3 linked regions of the Canis lupus familiaris genome follow. The protein of the gene in region 2 purifies or fractionates together with the protein of the main gene of each other region. This does not show direct contact. Links are inferred from orthologs where the notes say so. Each region holds a gene or a part of one and is shown on either strand. Other genes may lie near its edges.

The links.
Region 1: the proteins of PARD3 (region 2) and PARD6B purify together in Homo sapiens (affinity purification with mass spectrometry; 5 studies listed by BioGRID and IntAct, counting the BioPlex papers as one, with this or other methods). This does not show direct contact. The link is inferred for Canis lupus familiaris from reciprocal best matches to the Homo sapiens genes PARD3 and PARD6B.
Region 3: the proteins of PARD3 (region 2) and PRKCI purify together in Homo sapiens (affinity purification with western blotting; 5 studies listed by BioGRID and IntAct, with this or other methods). This does not show direct contact. The link is inferred for Canis lupus familiaris from reciprocal best matches to the Homo sapiens genes PARD3 and PRKCI.

The regions. Positions count from the first base shown.
Region 1 is NC_049245.1:37,728,695-37,734,358, forward strand, and holds the start of PARD6B (partitioning defective 6 homolog beta), read left to right. Parts: upstream 1-1,785; 5' UTR 1,786-1,847; coding exon 1,848-1,913; intron 1,914-5,664. UniProt on the Homo sapiens protein: Adapter protein involved in asymmetrical cell division and cell polarization processes. Probably involved in formation of epithelial tight junctions.
Region 2 is NC_049223.1:2,751,302-2,756,518, reverse strand, and holds part of PARD3 (partitioning defective 3 homolog), read right to left. Parts: intron 1,813-5,217; coding exon 1,687-1,812; intron 585-1,686; coding exon 199-584; intron 1-198. UniProt on the Homo sapiens protein: Adapter protein involved in asymmetrical cell division and cell polarization processes. Seems to play a central role in the formation of epithelial tight junctions. Targets the phosphatase PTEN to cell junctions.
Region 3 is NC_049255.1:35,023,104-35,028,886, reverse strand, and holds the start of PRKCI (protein kinase C iota type), read right to left. Parts: upstream 3,880-5,783; coding exon 3,779-3,879; intron 3,621-3,778; exon of another isoform or gene 3,335-3,620; intron 1-3,334.

The DNA of each region.
Region 1 (5,664 bases), on a different chromosome or scaffold from region 2:
CAAAGGCAGGTGCTTAAACCGCTGAGCCACCCAGGCTGCCCGAGATGGAATCCTTTTCATCTGTACTTCCACTCAAAATGGCCAGGAAAGACCTGAAATTCCCCAATAAACACTTGGTGAATTGAAAAGCTCCAGGGGGAAAGATGGGCTTCTCACCTTTGAGCCCAGGTGGGGCAAAGTTAGCACGGAAAAACCACACTCCCTGGGCACCAGCGCCCAGCAAAGCCATTATCCGAGTACCTGCCCGGAGTCAGGTACCATGCCACCTGCTCAACAGCGAGATGATGTGGTCCTGACTCCTCGGCGCTTTCATTCTAGGGCAGAGGCAGAGGAGTCCAAGAACATGAAAAAACGGAAGCTTGTCACCCACATGCTGGGAAGGATGTACGAGGAGTCAGGAGGGGTTTGAAGTAGGCAGATGAGCGCAAGGCCCCAGGACTGCGGTGGAATGAACCGCCCCCACCCCCAGGTCAGGCCGGCCCCTCTGCAGGTGGGGGGGGGGGGGCACTGGAGGGTCTCCTCCTCACTTCCCTGGCGCGGCCAGTACTGTTTTAAACAGCCTCCCTGCGAGAAGGAACCGCGCTCTGGGGCATTTAAAACAGAGGGTTGTCTTTTATCAAGGACGGAGTTCTATCGCCCCACGGAGAAAAGAACATTGTCCAGAGGCTGCCGTTGGTGGAAACAGCAAACGGCGAAGAAACGGCTGGAGGAGGGAGAAGACTTCGCGAGCAGAGCCTAACGCAAGCCCTGGGAGGCCGATCCGAAGTCCTGCGCGCGGCCATGCACCCTGGGCCTCCGCCCACTTCCCCTCCCTCGCGGCGCCCTCTCGACCCCCTGGGACCCGCGGACGAAACCGAGCCCGCGGAGCCCCGATGCTCTCCCCCAGTAACTGTTGCAGAGGCGGGAGAACTTTTATTCCGTAGCCAGAGTTGCAGACGGACTCCCGAAGCACCCAGCCGGGCGGTGGAGGGGAGCCTCTGCAACTGCAGCCCCCAAAGCGGACTGCGGCGGGGGCGGGCGCGAAGCCAGCGGCACCTCCGCGCCCCGGGGCCCCGCGGGGCAGCGCGGTCCCACCCCCAGCCCGGCGCGCCCTCGCCCGACCCGGCCCTCGGGCGCGCGCCTGCGCCTGCGCTTGCGCAAAACGCCCCCGCCCCAGCGCCTCTCCAGGTGCGCTCGCGCTTCCGGCCGGCCTTCCCGAGGCGGAAACACCAGAGCCCGCGCATGCGCCTTCCAGCTCTCCTGCTAGGTCCGGGGAGGGGGGCCCAAGGCTTCAGGTGATCCCGCCCCTCCCTCGCAGCGCGGGACCAATCGCGAGGCGGTAGGCGGGATTTTCGCGGAGGCGGCCCGCCCACACGCTCGCGAGGCGGGTTTCGATTGGCTGGCGGCGCGGGCGCAGGTGCGCGCTTCCTATTGGGTGTGGGCGGAGCGCGAGCCGCCGAGGCTTCTGCCGAGGCTGCAGGTGAGCGCGCGCGCGCCGCGGCTCCCTCCCGGGCTCGGGTGCGCGCGCGCGGGCCGGCGGGGGAGGCGGCCGGGAGCGAGCTCGCGGCGCCCGTCGCCTGTGCTCCGCCCCCTCCGCCGTCGCGGCCGCCGCCGAGGCCCGGAGGGAGGGAGTCGCGTCCCCGCCCGCCGCGCAGCCAGTCGGACCCTCGGTGCCGCCGCGAGCAGCCGGCCGAGCGGAGCTCCGCGCCCAGAAGCCGAGTCGCGGCCGCCGCTCTGCAGGTGCCGGTGCGGAGGCGCCCGGGCCGCAGCCGCGTCCCCGGCCCCGGCCCCGTCCCGCCGGCCGCGACTCCCCGCGCTCCCGAGGGGCGGCCCGGCCGCAGGAGGCCGCCGCGGGGCCCGGCCTCAGCATGAACCGCAGCCACCGGCACGGGGCGGGCAGCGGCTGCCTGGGCACCATGGAGGTGAAGAGCAAGGTGCGCGGGCCCGGGGCCGGCGGGGGCGGGGGCGGGGGGCCGGGGCTGCCCGCTGGCTGCGGCCGCGGGGCGTGCGGGGCTGCCCGGTGCACTCGCCGAGAAGCGGGCGAGGGTGGGGCCTTGCGTTTGCTCCCGGCCCAGGTGGGAAGGCCCGCGGAGCCCTTGCCCTCCTGGGGTCTCAGCCCGGGGCGGGGATGGCAGGCGTCTGAGCGCAGTGTGGGCGAAGGCTTGGGGACGTTGTAGCTCCCGGCCTGTGAGTAGCAGGTATTGGAAACACGCGCGGTCACAAAATGTTACCCCTTCCCGTGGTCCAGGGGTGCATCGAGCGGTGAGACGGCGAGCCCAGGGCCCTGAAGAGCCCTTTGAAAGTTGGCTTTGCTTCCTGCTAGGGATTTTTCCAGCACTCCCTTTGGTATGCGTCCTATTTATAAGAATTAACACTATCACCTTTCGTTTGAGTAGCCCTTTACAGTTTGAGGCTGGATGCTCTCTTCATTCCATCGTGCTGCCTTTTCACATCAAGTGTTTTCCTTCCTGACCGACGGTATGCCAGCCTGCTGAAAATTCCGTCCATATCCACTGAATTCCTAAATTGCAAGGCTCCCCGAGCAGGGGAGTCTGTAGGGATTAGTTAGAGAATGCTTTCCAAAGGGGGTTTCGAGCTGGAATTTGAAGGTGATCGGCAACCACAGCAGCATTTTCAGCAAGCATTTTGTGAGTTGAAGAGCCAAAGGAGCTCAGATAATCTAGTTTGATTCTCTTGAGAAAACGGAGGGGTCAGAAAGGTTATGACTTCGCCAGGCTCTGCTTTTATGACAAAACCTGGAAGGCTTTTTACAGATAACTTCTAGACTCTGTAGAACAAACGTGTTTTTGAGAACATTAAAAACAGTTAACAAAACCAAGACACAAGAATGGGAGAACAGTACGAGCAGATCAGCTTCAAAAATAACGAAACACCATTGAGTGTAAGACTACAGAGGGCAAATCCAAAATCAGGGAGTGGTTTTGAGTGAAGTGGAGTAAGAAAAGCTCCCCGGAGCCTGGGGGTGGAATGGTTTTATCTAGAGCTGATAAGCAAAGTTCTGTGAGTTGCTGGGAACTGAGATCTTCACATCAAGAGTATCTACATTCATTTTAAACATCGTTTGAAAATGTTATTTGTGACCTCTGGAGCAGGATAGGCAAGTGGGTTCACAGAAACCGTTCTGCTTAATAAGAATAGAAATGTAATTATAGCAATTTAAGGACTGTGTTTTTTCTTTCCTGTGCCCTGCACAGAATCACTAGAGCAAATTGAAGGGACATGGCTTGAGCTAAGGGTTAAGATGACTCCAAATATACAGGATTTTTCCTCGAGCGGTATAGCAGCGGTAGTGGTTCTGTGCCCACTGGTTGAACTTTCTCAGGCATTTCTGCCATAAATCTAGTTTGCGTCTGTGGGGGTTGAGGTTAAGAAAAGAAAAACACTTATGATATTGCATAATCTTAAAATTCAGTTTGTGGTCCTAATCTTGGTAACAAGTCTTGAACTTTTTATCGTAGGAAAAAAATGAGTAGAGAGTCTAGGTGCACCGATAAATACAATCAAATGGTAATTTATCTCCTGGACTAGAAACCTGGAGCACTTTTGGGACTGGAATTTCAGGCTTTCTGCCCTTTCTCTTCTCTCAACTGACCTGTGAATCTTTCCCACACTTACATCTGTACTACACGTTGTATATTTGAGCTGCCATGCTGCACTCGTAGTGAACCATGTCTCTTAAATAGAATCGAGGCATTCTGAGGACCTGCACCAAATGAGGTGTGGTTCCTCTTGTTGTTCTAGATCTTGCTGAATAGACACAATATTAGGTACTGTTTTTAGCATCTGTGACACTGTTTTAAATAGATATTGTTGAGACATTTATTTTTAGTGGATTAAATGAAACACTTGTCATCTTTATCATTTAAAAAGTATTTAGACAGATGTTTGAAACAATATTTCTCTTTGTCCCTGCCTTGGTGATATCACAGCTTTTTTCAAAACTGATTGTCGGGAAGTTGTAACCACAGCCAGGTAACGTGCAGATCCACATTTCAAGATCTCTTTTTCTTCTGCATAGAAAACAGTGTCAACTGTATCATCTGAGCAGAGCTGGGGAAGTTCTTAATAATGAAGGTGATATCCCTCAGTAACCTTGGAACAGTCTTTGGGCCGTACATTTTCTACTTATTATTCATGGGCAAACAGCATTAAAATTAACTTTGCATTTCTCGAATGTACCAACAGATGCTGGGAGAAGGCCACATCCTGGGTGGCCAGGACAAACTAGATTGGCCTAAAGAGTTATAAATGGTTCATGTAGTGAAAAGTTGTTGACTCGGTCTTAATTTTATGTCTGTCTTAGTATTTTTCTTCATGTAGTAAAACGTTCTCTTAATCCTATTGTTTCTCTGCAAGAAGCATAACAGTTTCTCTTGTTTGGTTTTGTTTTCTGCTAACATTTGCAAAAGGGCACATCTGCTATGAAGCCATACAGTTTTTCATTGTTTTTATCATAACCTATAAGGAAGAGAAATACATGTTGAGCAAAGGATTTTCACCCAAAAGCTTTAACAAAGACGCTGGAGCCCTGCGATGTTCAATTGTTAGATGTTAACTTTCATTCACGTACCTGGAGAAGTGATAAACCCTGGCATGAATCAGAAAGCACTAGGAGCTTTGCATTGTGATACCAGAATAAAGAACATGGAGGAGAAACTGACTTTTGATAACATCATAAGACTAGCTCTGATATGAAGGGTGTTGCCGAGTTTTTATTTACTTTGAAACATGAAGGTGTGACTAAACTTTTTGAGAGTTTTAGGTATGAGTCACCTTGTGTTCTTGACAAATGTTGATGTTTATTTTCAGGAATGTGTTTTGGAAACTTTTATTTATTAGAAGTAAGAGGTTTTAGCGAGGTTTTAATTTAATACTAATGAGTAGTATTAGTACTGATGAACTTCTTCAGTGTAACAGATACAGTGACTCCAGCTATGTCATAGGTCCTAGTGAAGATGAATTAACACATTTGTAACCTGCTCAAATTATCCTGACGGGGACTTTCTCTGCATGATGCTTAAGGCTGTGTTAGTACTACATTACATTAGGATACATTAGTATTTCTTGTTAATAGTAGGTTTTTTTTTTTTAATTTTTATTTATTTATGATAGTCACATAGAGAGAGAGAGAGGCAGAGACATAAGCAGAGGGAGAAGCAGGCTCCATGCACCAGGAGCCTGACGTGGGATTCGATCCCGGGTCTCCAGGATCGCGCCCTGGGCCAAAGGCAGGCGCCAAACCGCTGCGCCACCCAGGGATCCCAATAGTAGGTATTTAGAGGAAAAATGATTTCAGTGGTTGAACACATTTGGCAAACATTTGTTTAAAATTAAAAAAAAAAAAAAGAAAAACTGGGATCCCTGGGTGGCGCAGCGGTTTGGCGCCTGCCTTTGGCCCAGGGCGCGATCCTGGAGACCCCGGATCGAATCCCACATCGGGCTCCCGGTGCATGGAGCCTGCTTCTCCCTCTGCCTGTGTCTCTGCCTCTCTCTCTCTCTCTCTCTGTCTCTGTGACTATCATAAATAAATAAAAATTTAAAAATAAAAAAATAAAATAAAATAATAAAAATAAAAACTAACCGTAGAACCAAACTGAATCTTTAATATTTAGTTTCCACAGTGATTCCTAAGAGTGTGATTATAGGTTTGTAGCATTTTCTAAA
Region 2 (5,217 bases):
TTCTTCACAGAAACTTATTTTTAAAGCCTTATTTTTTCTAAACTCCTCACTTTCTGACACAGCAAAATGAATCTGAAAAGCATAAAAACTACAATTTTCAATACTTTAAGTCATTATAACCGTTCTTTCTTATAATAATGGATTAGTTGATTTGATTTTTAAAATAAACTCCATAAAACAAAACAAGGTGGGTCATACCTTTCTTCAGCTGGATATTAAGCCTCTTGCCTATTTTTTTCGTATTATAACCACTGCTTACATTTGGACTAAATATATTTTGTGGGGCCTGGGCCAGAGCTGACGGCGGTTTTCCGGAGGGGTGTGTGCTCTGAGGTAGTAGGCGGGGGTGCGAGTCTATGTGCTCGGGTGGGTGGTTCAATCTGGGTGCTCTGGGCAGCGCCTGAAGTCCAGCACTAGTCACACCCCTGTTATCCATATACTGGCTGTCCGGACTGAAGTGGCTTGAATAGTAATTGTTCTTCTCACTTTGGGAGAGTTGTTCGTACTGCTCTTTATTTGCTGCAGGAACCACATGGAACCAAATGATGGGTGTACGCATGGCTTGGCGAAACATATGTTGTGCTCTGGGTTTGAGAAAGAATGGAAAATTAGCAAATTAAGACTGGCAGACTAGAAGATATTATGAGCTTAATTAAGTATACTAATTAAGCAACAAGAACTGCCAGACTTTGTTGAAACGGAAAAACAAAATCCTGATATCCCATTTATCAATCAAGTTTGCAAGCTCTGATAGAAGCATAGCTGTTTTCTCCAAATATAAATTTTTTATTCTCTTAATAAAAATGAGAAAATTATCTATAACTACAGATAAAATACCGGGTACTCAATCACAAATTATTAAATAGTTTTAAGCACAATAGAGGTATTATAATTGCAATAGGAACAGAAATTAAATACAATCTTGTCTCTACAACATTATCCAATACATTTAAAACTTACATTTTGTTACATGGAACCACTTGAGTTTTTGAAGAAATAAATATATGTAGAAAACTATAGAAATCAACTATCCATTATCAGCAAAATTAACACAAGTGTATGCAAAATTCTTAAGAAAACCAGTGTGGCCTCAGTGACTTAAAATGTGAAGAGTTTTGGTCCTGGTGCTAGTCCACGACCAGCCTGAGCAACTGCTCCAGCTCACGCTCATTCATGACTCAGATCTCACACACGAAATCCTTATGATTTCTGCTCACTTTTGTCCTATTTTAGAGGAACTGGACAACTTTTATCTTTTTAATTGAGTAATGACTTAAATCAGGATAAAGAAAATTGGGTGGACCACACTGTAGTTCAAAGGAGCTTTCTCTGCTTATTTATAAGATGAATCATTACATGCAACAAAGTCGGGAACGTGAGTTAAAATATAATAAAGCCCAGCACGCTGGCAAATTTTCTGAAAGGTGAGGAAGTAGCAAAATTGTGAAGTATAAATTGGGCCCATAATATTTTAAGAAGCGCTCTGTCAGTCAGAGGGCATTTTGAAATATAGTCTAATGGTAGTAATTACCTGTAGTTTGATTAAATTTTTAAAAGCTAGATAATGACAGAAAATACTCCTCTCTAGTATAAAGACAGAGACATGTTGTTTGAAGCATTTCAATGGACTACACTCTCTCATGCCTCGAGCATGAAAGAACAGCAGTGCAGCCAGCACACACTTACTGTTCAAATCTTCTATTTCGAAGGTCGCCATCATTAATCCTGACAATGCAATCATTTTCATGAAAAAGGTTTTCTTGTTCAGCTTTACCACCTTTCTCCAATCGTTTTACTAATAACCCCAGGGTTCTGGAACATTAAGAATGCAAATCATTACACATGTAATATTTCTACTACCATGCACAATGCCCTACTGCTTTAATGCTGGTATTATATTTACAAAGACTTCCTGATAAAGGAGTACATTAAATCGTTATTAATACACTTGAAAATAACACCAACACAAAAAGCACAACCATATAAATGAAGTGCAGAAATGGATCCTTTCAATAAATGTAATAAATTGTTTCTGGTTGTCAGGATTATGTTTCTGAAACAAACTATGCTTAGAAATGCTTCAAACAGAGCTTGCCTGATGGTTCACTAGATATCGCAGTGTGGAGCATAGAAGACCATGCACTTGTGGATAGCTCTGGCAGTTTTCTGTTTTAAGCCGGCTGGTTCACCGTGCACGCGCAGGTGATCAAAGAAAGGTTAACCTCAGTGCATTGTACATTTGCAAAGAAAAAGAGGAAAGTTTTGATTCTTGGCATCTGAATTTGATGGTGCCTAAGCGTCTCAAATTTCAAAACTTGTTAGGTCTCCCAAAAGTGAAAAATTTGTTGCCATTATTCCCATTTAGAGACAAATAAGAGAAAGCCAGTGACAGGTTCGAATGTCAATGGTTCAAACCTCATCAATGTGTGCTAAAACTGCAGGTTGAAAGAAAAGCCTGAATGAACTGTTAGAGACCAATAAGGAGATAAAAAAGCAAAAATTAGTAGGGTACTTGGTCTAGAGTACTAATATCTTGACTGACAGAAAGAATATTCTAGATACCCTGACAAGTGGCAAACATTATCTGACCACAGTACAAAGAACAGGAATCTTTACCTAGTTCTGGTGCTGTGACTGACTTGATGGCTAGCATAAATTCTGTATGATGATCACATTAAAAATTTTTATGAACCTATCTTGGGCCTGTCCAAAGCTTAGATTTTCTTTCATAATCTCCATATTTAGAGATAATATCCATATAGATACTCAAATTTAGAATCCTGCCAAAATTAAAGTTGGTATTTCCAATAGTTCAGATATAGATAATATATCTTCCAACAGAATACAATTTGCCATGCCCTATATAGGCTTTCCAGGAAAAAGATACCCATATAGACAGCTTCCTCTTTTAAACGTTTACAGTAATTCTTATCTGTCCTGTGGCCATTTATCTCTGTAATTCTCTGTAATTGTTACTTATATACACATCTTATCTCTACTAGTGCATTGTAAGCTCCTGCAAGATGGAGAAGATGGGAATCAGCAACGCAGGCTCAAGCACCTAAATAGTAGCAAGGTCTTGACAAATGAAAACCACAAGAGTTTAGCTCAGGCAAACAAGTCTCACGTTTCTAAGAAACTTTCTGCAAAGAAGAAAATGAGCCAAAAGAAATTTAGATTCAGATCCTTTTCTTCATGAAGATGTCATTTACACCAAATTATGATTGAACTGAAATAAACTTGAAAGCAAAAGGTCCTTTTTCACTGGTTATTTTGCAACTTCAACTTGTTTCCTTCATGAATATTTACAGAGTCATTCTTTAACTTCATTTTAATGTTTATTGTTAAGTACAGTACAGCATGTTTTATCCTAAGGTCAAGTCCACCAACTGGCAAAGGTCATCAGAGGAGGTAACATTTAAATCGCCTTTTGTAATTTCACCATTTGAGGATTAGTACCTACTAGTCTAAGAATCTAAAAGTCTTAGTGACTGATAAAAACATTATTACATATGTAATGTTTGGTTACTCACTACCATATATTGGAATTAAACAAATATAAAAATCCCCTCAGCTCAAAGGGAAGAACAAAGTATGAGCAACCTAATGGTCTGAGTCTTATTTGGAAGAAAGAGATCCCACAATACACACCAATAATTATTAAGTTACTGTTAAAATGTCATCTGTGCCCATGATCTGTCTCCTAACACTTCCCTGTTGTGTGTGTTTCTATGTGCAATTGACTAAGTGTTCTAAGAGAGGAATCGATTAAGATATATCCATGATTCTGTTGAATGAGACAAAATAATTTGAGACATCAAATTAAATCACAGTTCTTGACAGTATGAGAACTAGAAGACATTTGGCCACTTCACCCTCAAAGCAACCATATAAAAGAACAGCTTAAAGGAAAAGATGATTCAGCCACCCACAGACAATCACAACACAATCATACATGAGGCACCACACTTGTTGCTAAGGCTATCTCTACAGACCAAGAGCGCTTTGCAGGGTGCATGCATTTGGTGTGCAGTAAAAGTATGCCTTTCCAAGAGTCACTCCAGTTAAGTAATTAGTTCTAAATTGGTGAAATCATGAGCTATTTCTCAGTATGGTTACAAAATTTCTGCAATCTAAAGTGATGAATAATGATTACGCTTTTATGTATTCTGAAATATTTTATGTATTCTAAAATAGCCTATAGAATACTTTGATACATATATATTCTTATATACACACACACACATAAATATACACACATACATATACACACCTATACACAGAGAGGGAGAGACAAGAGACAGACTGTGTTTAATGAAAATTACTCAGCAGTTAACTAGTACTGATCATTTGTTTAAATTTACAAATTTACCCCAGATAGCTCCTTTCAGTATTTAACACAGTTTAAAATAACACAACTTGGAAATACATAATTTAATTCTACAAGTAGCACCAATATTTCTCAGATGAGTAGGTCTATGGATTTATATTCATCTAGATAATCATTTTTCTTTTACAATCTACTCCCTCCCTCCCCCAGGAATCATTCTAGAATAATAATTCACAGTAAAAAAAAAAAAAAAAAAAAAAAAGCATGGCATGCTTCATTTATTCAATGGCCTGTCTTTCCAAATAAGTCCTCATATATGGCCTAATTCATCAGTAATCCTAATATGCAGTGAAAAATACAAATCAAAAATAAATACACCATCACATTCATATGGAACATAAACAGTTTATTAAATGAGGCTTTTAGAATCCAAAGTTGTTAAAATAGCAGCAAAATCTTAGACTCTTCTTTCTCAGTGCTGGAGACTAGAAAACCCACTGGGGAAGGGAGGGTAGGGAGGAAGAATTTTATCCTAAGTAACACAGCAAGTGATCAGGGAATCAACGGAACAGACTGAATTAAGGAGAAGTTAGTAGCCTGCTGATTTCTAAATACTTGACCACACTATTAGAATCATTCTCTCAAAAAAGAATGGATTAATTTAAAAGTAAAGTGGTACAATCTGCAAAATTATCTCATTTGCTTCACTAGGTGAAAATGATTACAAAAAGAATGGGAAGGAACTATCAAAAAAACTTCACAAGAGAATTGAACTGATAACAGAACAGCGAGCCTGAGAATGAAAAGTACCCTCTGAAGGGAAATCAACAGGAAGTTGTAACACTTTCATCTTCCTGAAAAACGTGAATGCAAGCACATAGATCTCC
Region 3 (5,783 bases), on a different chromosome or scaffold from region 2:
CAAATATACAAGGAGTTAATCTCTTCCGATTTATAGATGCGCACAAAAGAACCCTCTAGATTGTTGTAACTGTTCAATGGCAGTGGTTTAAAAAGCATGTTTACAACCTTTTTTTTTTTAAGATTTTATTTATTAATGAGATACACAGAGAGAGAGACAGAGACAGAGACACAGGCAGAGAGAGAAGCAGGCTTCCTGTAGGGAGCCCTACGTGGGACCCGATCCTAGAACTCCAGGATCATGCCCCGGGCCAAAGACAGGCTCCAAACTGCTGAGCCATCCAGGGATCCCCCCTGTTTACAACCTTTTTGCAAAATTTCCCATACATTTATAATGTAAAATGAAATGCGTAGTCTGGACATTTCCTTGTTAAACTCTTATCCCATAATATCAAGTAACTTTAATATAAGGATAAGCACCTACAATAGCAATTTATCACTAACCAACAAAACCTGTTTCTCTTCCTCCTAACACTACTAGGTAATGATTGAAGAGGGAAGGCCACTCACTGACAAGCTCCCATGTTAAGGAAAGAAGGGTATATAGGACATGACACAGGCACTCTTAGGTGGTCTCCAATACAGTCAGATTCTTTTTTTTTTTTTTTTTTTTTAAGATTTCTTTTAGAGAAAGAAAGCTCATGTGTGTACTGGGGGAGGGGCAGAGGGACAGGGAGAAAAAAACTCAAGCAGACTCCCCTCTGAGCATGGAGCCCCAGGCTAGGCCCAATCTCACCATCCCAAGATCATGACCTGAGCCAAAATCAAGAGTCTGACAACTAATCAACTGAACCACCCAAGCACCCCCAATACAGTCGGATTCTCGATGCTATTAATCTCCTGCTTAAAAACTAGAAAAAATCTAATTAAATGTCTGTTATATCTAGAGAGACAACACATTTGCCCTAAGAACAAATTTAACTGAATGAGAGAACACCATACACAACTTTAAAGAGGGAACGCAATTTATTTGCTAAAAAATTCTGGTTATTCCAAGATTCAACGTTCACTGGAAAGAAATACTGTTAGAAGGGAGTAAGAAGGCTTTCTGATAACAGCCTTTCATAAGATCTGAAAGAAAAACTTTTTTCAAATGCAGATTGACCCTACATTTCTTGATATAAAGGATTTTTCTATTTAAAAATGAGGTAGGTGTTCTAGTTAGCCAACCTGTTTATTAGCTATCCTCATTGGTGACTCATTTTAGTTTCATCTGTAGTAATGAGCAGCTGACTATGTAATATCAAAACCACCAGTTTAGACTATTGTTAATAAACATATAATCTTAACATCTAATTTCAGGGGACAGAAATTGGAACAATTTAGAGAGTGCTGATGTTGTCTTTAAATGAGGCTTGAAATGAAGGCACTATTAGAAAGCTTTCAACGAATAAAAAGCAATAAAGGTCAAGGGCTAGATTCTTTCATTCCTTAGCAAAAATTCACAGATGTTAAAAAACAAAATGTTAACTTGAGAATGTCTTAGAAAAATTTTAGTCAGGCACTAAAAGTATATGCCCTCTTCTATTTTCTTTTATAACAATAATTATAGTAATAAGCCAAGAAAATTTGACACCTAACATTCCTTAAATATATTTTTATTTCTTTCTAAAGAAGTTTATAATGATTTTAATTTACTAACTAGGCCTTTTTAGATTTGTCAAACGAATAAAAACAGGAGAAAGAAACCTAATTCCTTCCTCTTCATATTTAAAGTCATCGGAAACTATTTAAATTTAATAAGCCAAGAATTTGCATTGTTTAAAGTCATAAATGCAGACCAGAGAACTGAAAATAATAGCTTAAGAATCAAAAATTGAAAAGCACCAACCAGGAGAAGGACAAGCAAAAGGTAGCATTCACCCAATTTCTCATCTTTCAGTGGAAGGAACCAATAGGTACCACCTAAAGTTGAATCATGAAAGAGAATAAGGTAATAAAGAATAAAGGCAAACCTCCAGAAGAACAGAAATAAACTGTTAACAGTCTACCTCTGGAAGTGGGGAGGATGAGATGGAAGACACTTTTTTTTTTTTTTTTTTAAGATTTTATTTGTCAATTCATGAGAGACACAGAGAGAGGCTGAGATACAGGCAGAGGGAGAAGCAGGCTCCCTTCGGGGAGTCTAATGCAGGACTCCATCCCAGGACCCCAGGGTCACGTCCTGAGCAAAAGGCAGAAGCTCAACCACTGAGCCACCCAGGTGCCACGAGAGACACTCACCTTATACCTCTGTACAATTTGCACATTCCTACCATGTGAGTATATTCATTTTTAATCCCGTTTTTTTTAACTGTCAATAATGAAACACTTAAAAAAAAAAACACATACTATATATTTCATTCTCTTTGCCTAACAGCTCATGGACTGTCAATTTTATAAAATGGCAACTGAATTAATCTCTTAATTAAAGGTAAGGTAAAGGAAGCAAAGCTTTTTTCCCCCACAGTGCAAAGTTCATTGACCATATTCATGTCAAAACTGCGCTTGTGACCACTACAAACTTAAAAAAAAAAAAAACCATACACACACTTCTTAGTATTGTTTTTAAAATGAAGACCTCCTTGATCAATTTAAGCAAAAACGCGGATACTGTCCAAAATAATTCTTGTAAACTATGCTGAATAGGCTAACAAACAAGAGGTCAGCGGCTACACAGCAGCGAGTGATTAAGTGGTTACATCAAATCAATAAGACGTTTGACGGCTCCTATTTCCTTTAAAATCAAAACAAGAGAGGTGTTTTGAAAGTTTGCTATCTTCACTGATCCTCTCAGGAATGTACAAGTATGCACTGCAGTCTCAACCTCCTAGTGCTTGAGGGTTTTTTTTTTTTCTTTTTTTCTTTCTTCTTTTTTTTTTTTTTTTTTTTGAGCAATTTACTTCTGCTTGGACAAACAGTAAGACAGGCCAAAGCCATTGGCTTTGCTGTTAACCCTTTGCCTCAAATCTTGGCCTTCACACGACCATTTCACCTTTCTAATGCTACTAAAGGTAATCATCTCAAATTTCAAAACGCAACTGAAAACAAGGGAAGGGGGATACTCCAGGTCACTGATTACAGGGTATGATCTGATACAACAGTATTAGCACTAGGTCCCTCCTGGTAAGCACAGGAGCTCTAAGTTGGGGAATCTGAGTACATAGCACAGATTTTAAAACCACGCCTCGGTTCGCCCCCCTCTCTCCTTGCAGCGTCTCCCCCTGTCCAGTAAGTGGTCCCTGAGCCAACACTGACAAAGGAGCGTTCACAAATTTTTAATTCGCACCTATACGACCTGCTCTTGGCGAGACCTGAGTGCCTAATGCACGGCCCTAAAAAGGCAGCAACTTTACCCGTGAGCAGTAACTCCGCGTCTCCGAGGGAGGCAGGCAGGCAGCCGGGCGGGCTCAGAGCAGCGCGCCGACTCCTCTGCGCCGCGAAGGTGGGGCGGCCCCGGAGCAGCCGAGGCTTCGGGCCTTGGGCTGCTGGCGGAGCCGGCGGACTACGGGAGTCCTGGCTTTTCAGCCCGCGGCCACCTTAGCTCGCCCAGGCGCCCCTCGGAACCAGCCCTGAACCCCACACGCACTCGGGCTCAAGGGCGCAAAGCCCCCGCGCGCCTCTTGGCAGGCGGCGGGTCTCGAAGCCACCAGGTGGACCCTCTCCATGCCCAGGCTCCGCCCTGGGACCCTCGCCGGACCCGGGCCGGACCCGGCTGCACCCGGGCGCCCCAGCGCCACCCCGCGACCGCTCGGCGCCCCCCGCCCCGCGCTGCCCTCCCCGCCTCCCGGGACACTCACCCGCGGTAGTAGGCTTTCACCCGGACCTGGTGGGAATGGTCCCCGCTGCCGCCGCCCGCGATCGCGTGAGACATGGCACTGCTGTCCCTCTGGGTCGGCATCTCCCTGCTCCCCCGCCCCAGCGCGGAGGCCGAGGCTGCGGGGGGCGCGCCGGGCGCCGGGGGCGGCGGGGGCGGGGGCGGGCGCGCTCCGCTGCAGAGTCTCCCGCTCGGCCTCCCGCTCGGCCTCCCGCTCGGCCTCCCGCACGGCCTCCCGCTCGGCCACCTGCGCGGTCCGCCCGACCCGAGGGGCGCCTGGCCGGGGCAGCCGGAACCGCGCGGCTCCTCCCGCCGGGCCCAGCACGCCTCCCCTCCGGGCCCTCCCACCTCGCCCGCTCCAAAGGCGCACATTCCGGGGGAGGGCGGGCGCGACCATCCGAGCATCTCCAGGAGCCTCGACGCCGGGCCGAACCATCCTCACGGGGGCCGCGGAGAGGGGGGCGGGAGGATGGCGGCGCCGGGTGGCACATCGGTGGGCCGGGGAGGGGCCTCCGCGGCCCCCGCGACTGAGGGAAGGCCAGAGCTGTCCGCGAAGGGCGCCCTCCCCACGGGGGACACGGGCGGGGGCCCGGGCTGCGGCATCTCACCCCGCGGCCTGACTTGGTCCCGCCCGCCGCCGGCCCGAGCGGGGCTGGGCCGGGTTTCTGGGATTTGCAGTCCCGGTGGGAGGCCGGGCCTGGAGGCTCTCGGCGTCGGAACCCGGCCTCCCCCGCGCAGCCGCCCGAGTCCGAGCCCCGCGTGCGCGCCCCCCGCAGCCTCGGCCAGGGGCTCGCCCGCCTGGAACCCCGGCTGCAGCGTGGGCACCTGAGGTCGCGGCGAGCGGTTGGGCTTCGTCCCCATCTCTACAGTGGGTTCCCCGATGCAGTCCCCCTTCCAGCTGCATGCACCAGCTCCAGTGCACGGTGCCTTTTTTGGAGGACGAGACGCTGGTCAACCGGCTGGGCACACGCTCTTTTATGGAAAGACTTTAATAACATATGTAACAAATGTAGTAAAGGAGGAAACTCAGCTAGAAGGTGTGGAAGACCGGCATTGCCTCCTTTGCAGCCCCCCCCCCCCCCCCCCACCGCACCTTGGCCCTGGTATATCGCCATCGCCTGGCACAGGTGCACAGTGGTTATCCGAGCCATCCATCAGCACTATTTTTTTTTTTCTATTCTTTTCTATCACTGGCTAGCCAAAGATGACAGTATAAAGGATCCGTCTTTGTAGCTTAGTCTCTGATCTTCCATTGATCTTGGCTCTGGCACATAGTGCAACTACAAGGAGCAATGAATCCAGCTCCGGCTTTGGTCCTGGCACCAGCACATGCTAAAAAAGGTTGAAATAATCAAGACTATAACCTGCTTTACTGTGATAAAATAGGGCTGGAGGATTGACTCATCAGAGTTATGTCTGACACTTCGTCTGCGGTGATGTCCTTTAACTGCTACAAACGTGGATTATAGACTCCTAATAAAAACTGTTGAAAGACCTTGGTATCAGAGTTTTGAGAACTCGGGACTTACATCCACATGTTAAATATGAATCAATTAGCTGTGGAATATAAACTATTTCTGAAGTGAGATTGTGAAGTTTTAATTGGATTCATAGAAAATGTAGTATGCTTGTGACAAATTTGAAAGATTATATAATGCTATTGGAAAGGAAATTTGCATTGTATGGGAAATGGGAATTTAGAACGGTAAGGCGAAGCGGCCGAGATAGCTCAGTTGGGAGAGCGTTAGACTGAAGAAAGGTAAGGTGTGAACACCTGTTTCTTCTGGGTCCTTATTTCTTAGCGGTTTGAAAAATCCTTCATTGGCCTCATTTTCACAGGAGGCTTATTGCCTATATTAAATTTGTCATCAGTAAGAATCTATAAATAGTAAATATGTGTTTCCATGTCTTGGCTATTGTAAATGATGCTTCATGGGGGTGCAGATATCTTTTCAAGGTAGTGTTTTTGTTTTCTTTGGCTAAATAAT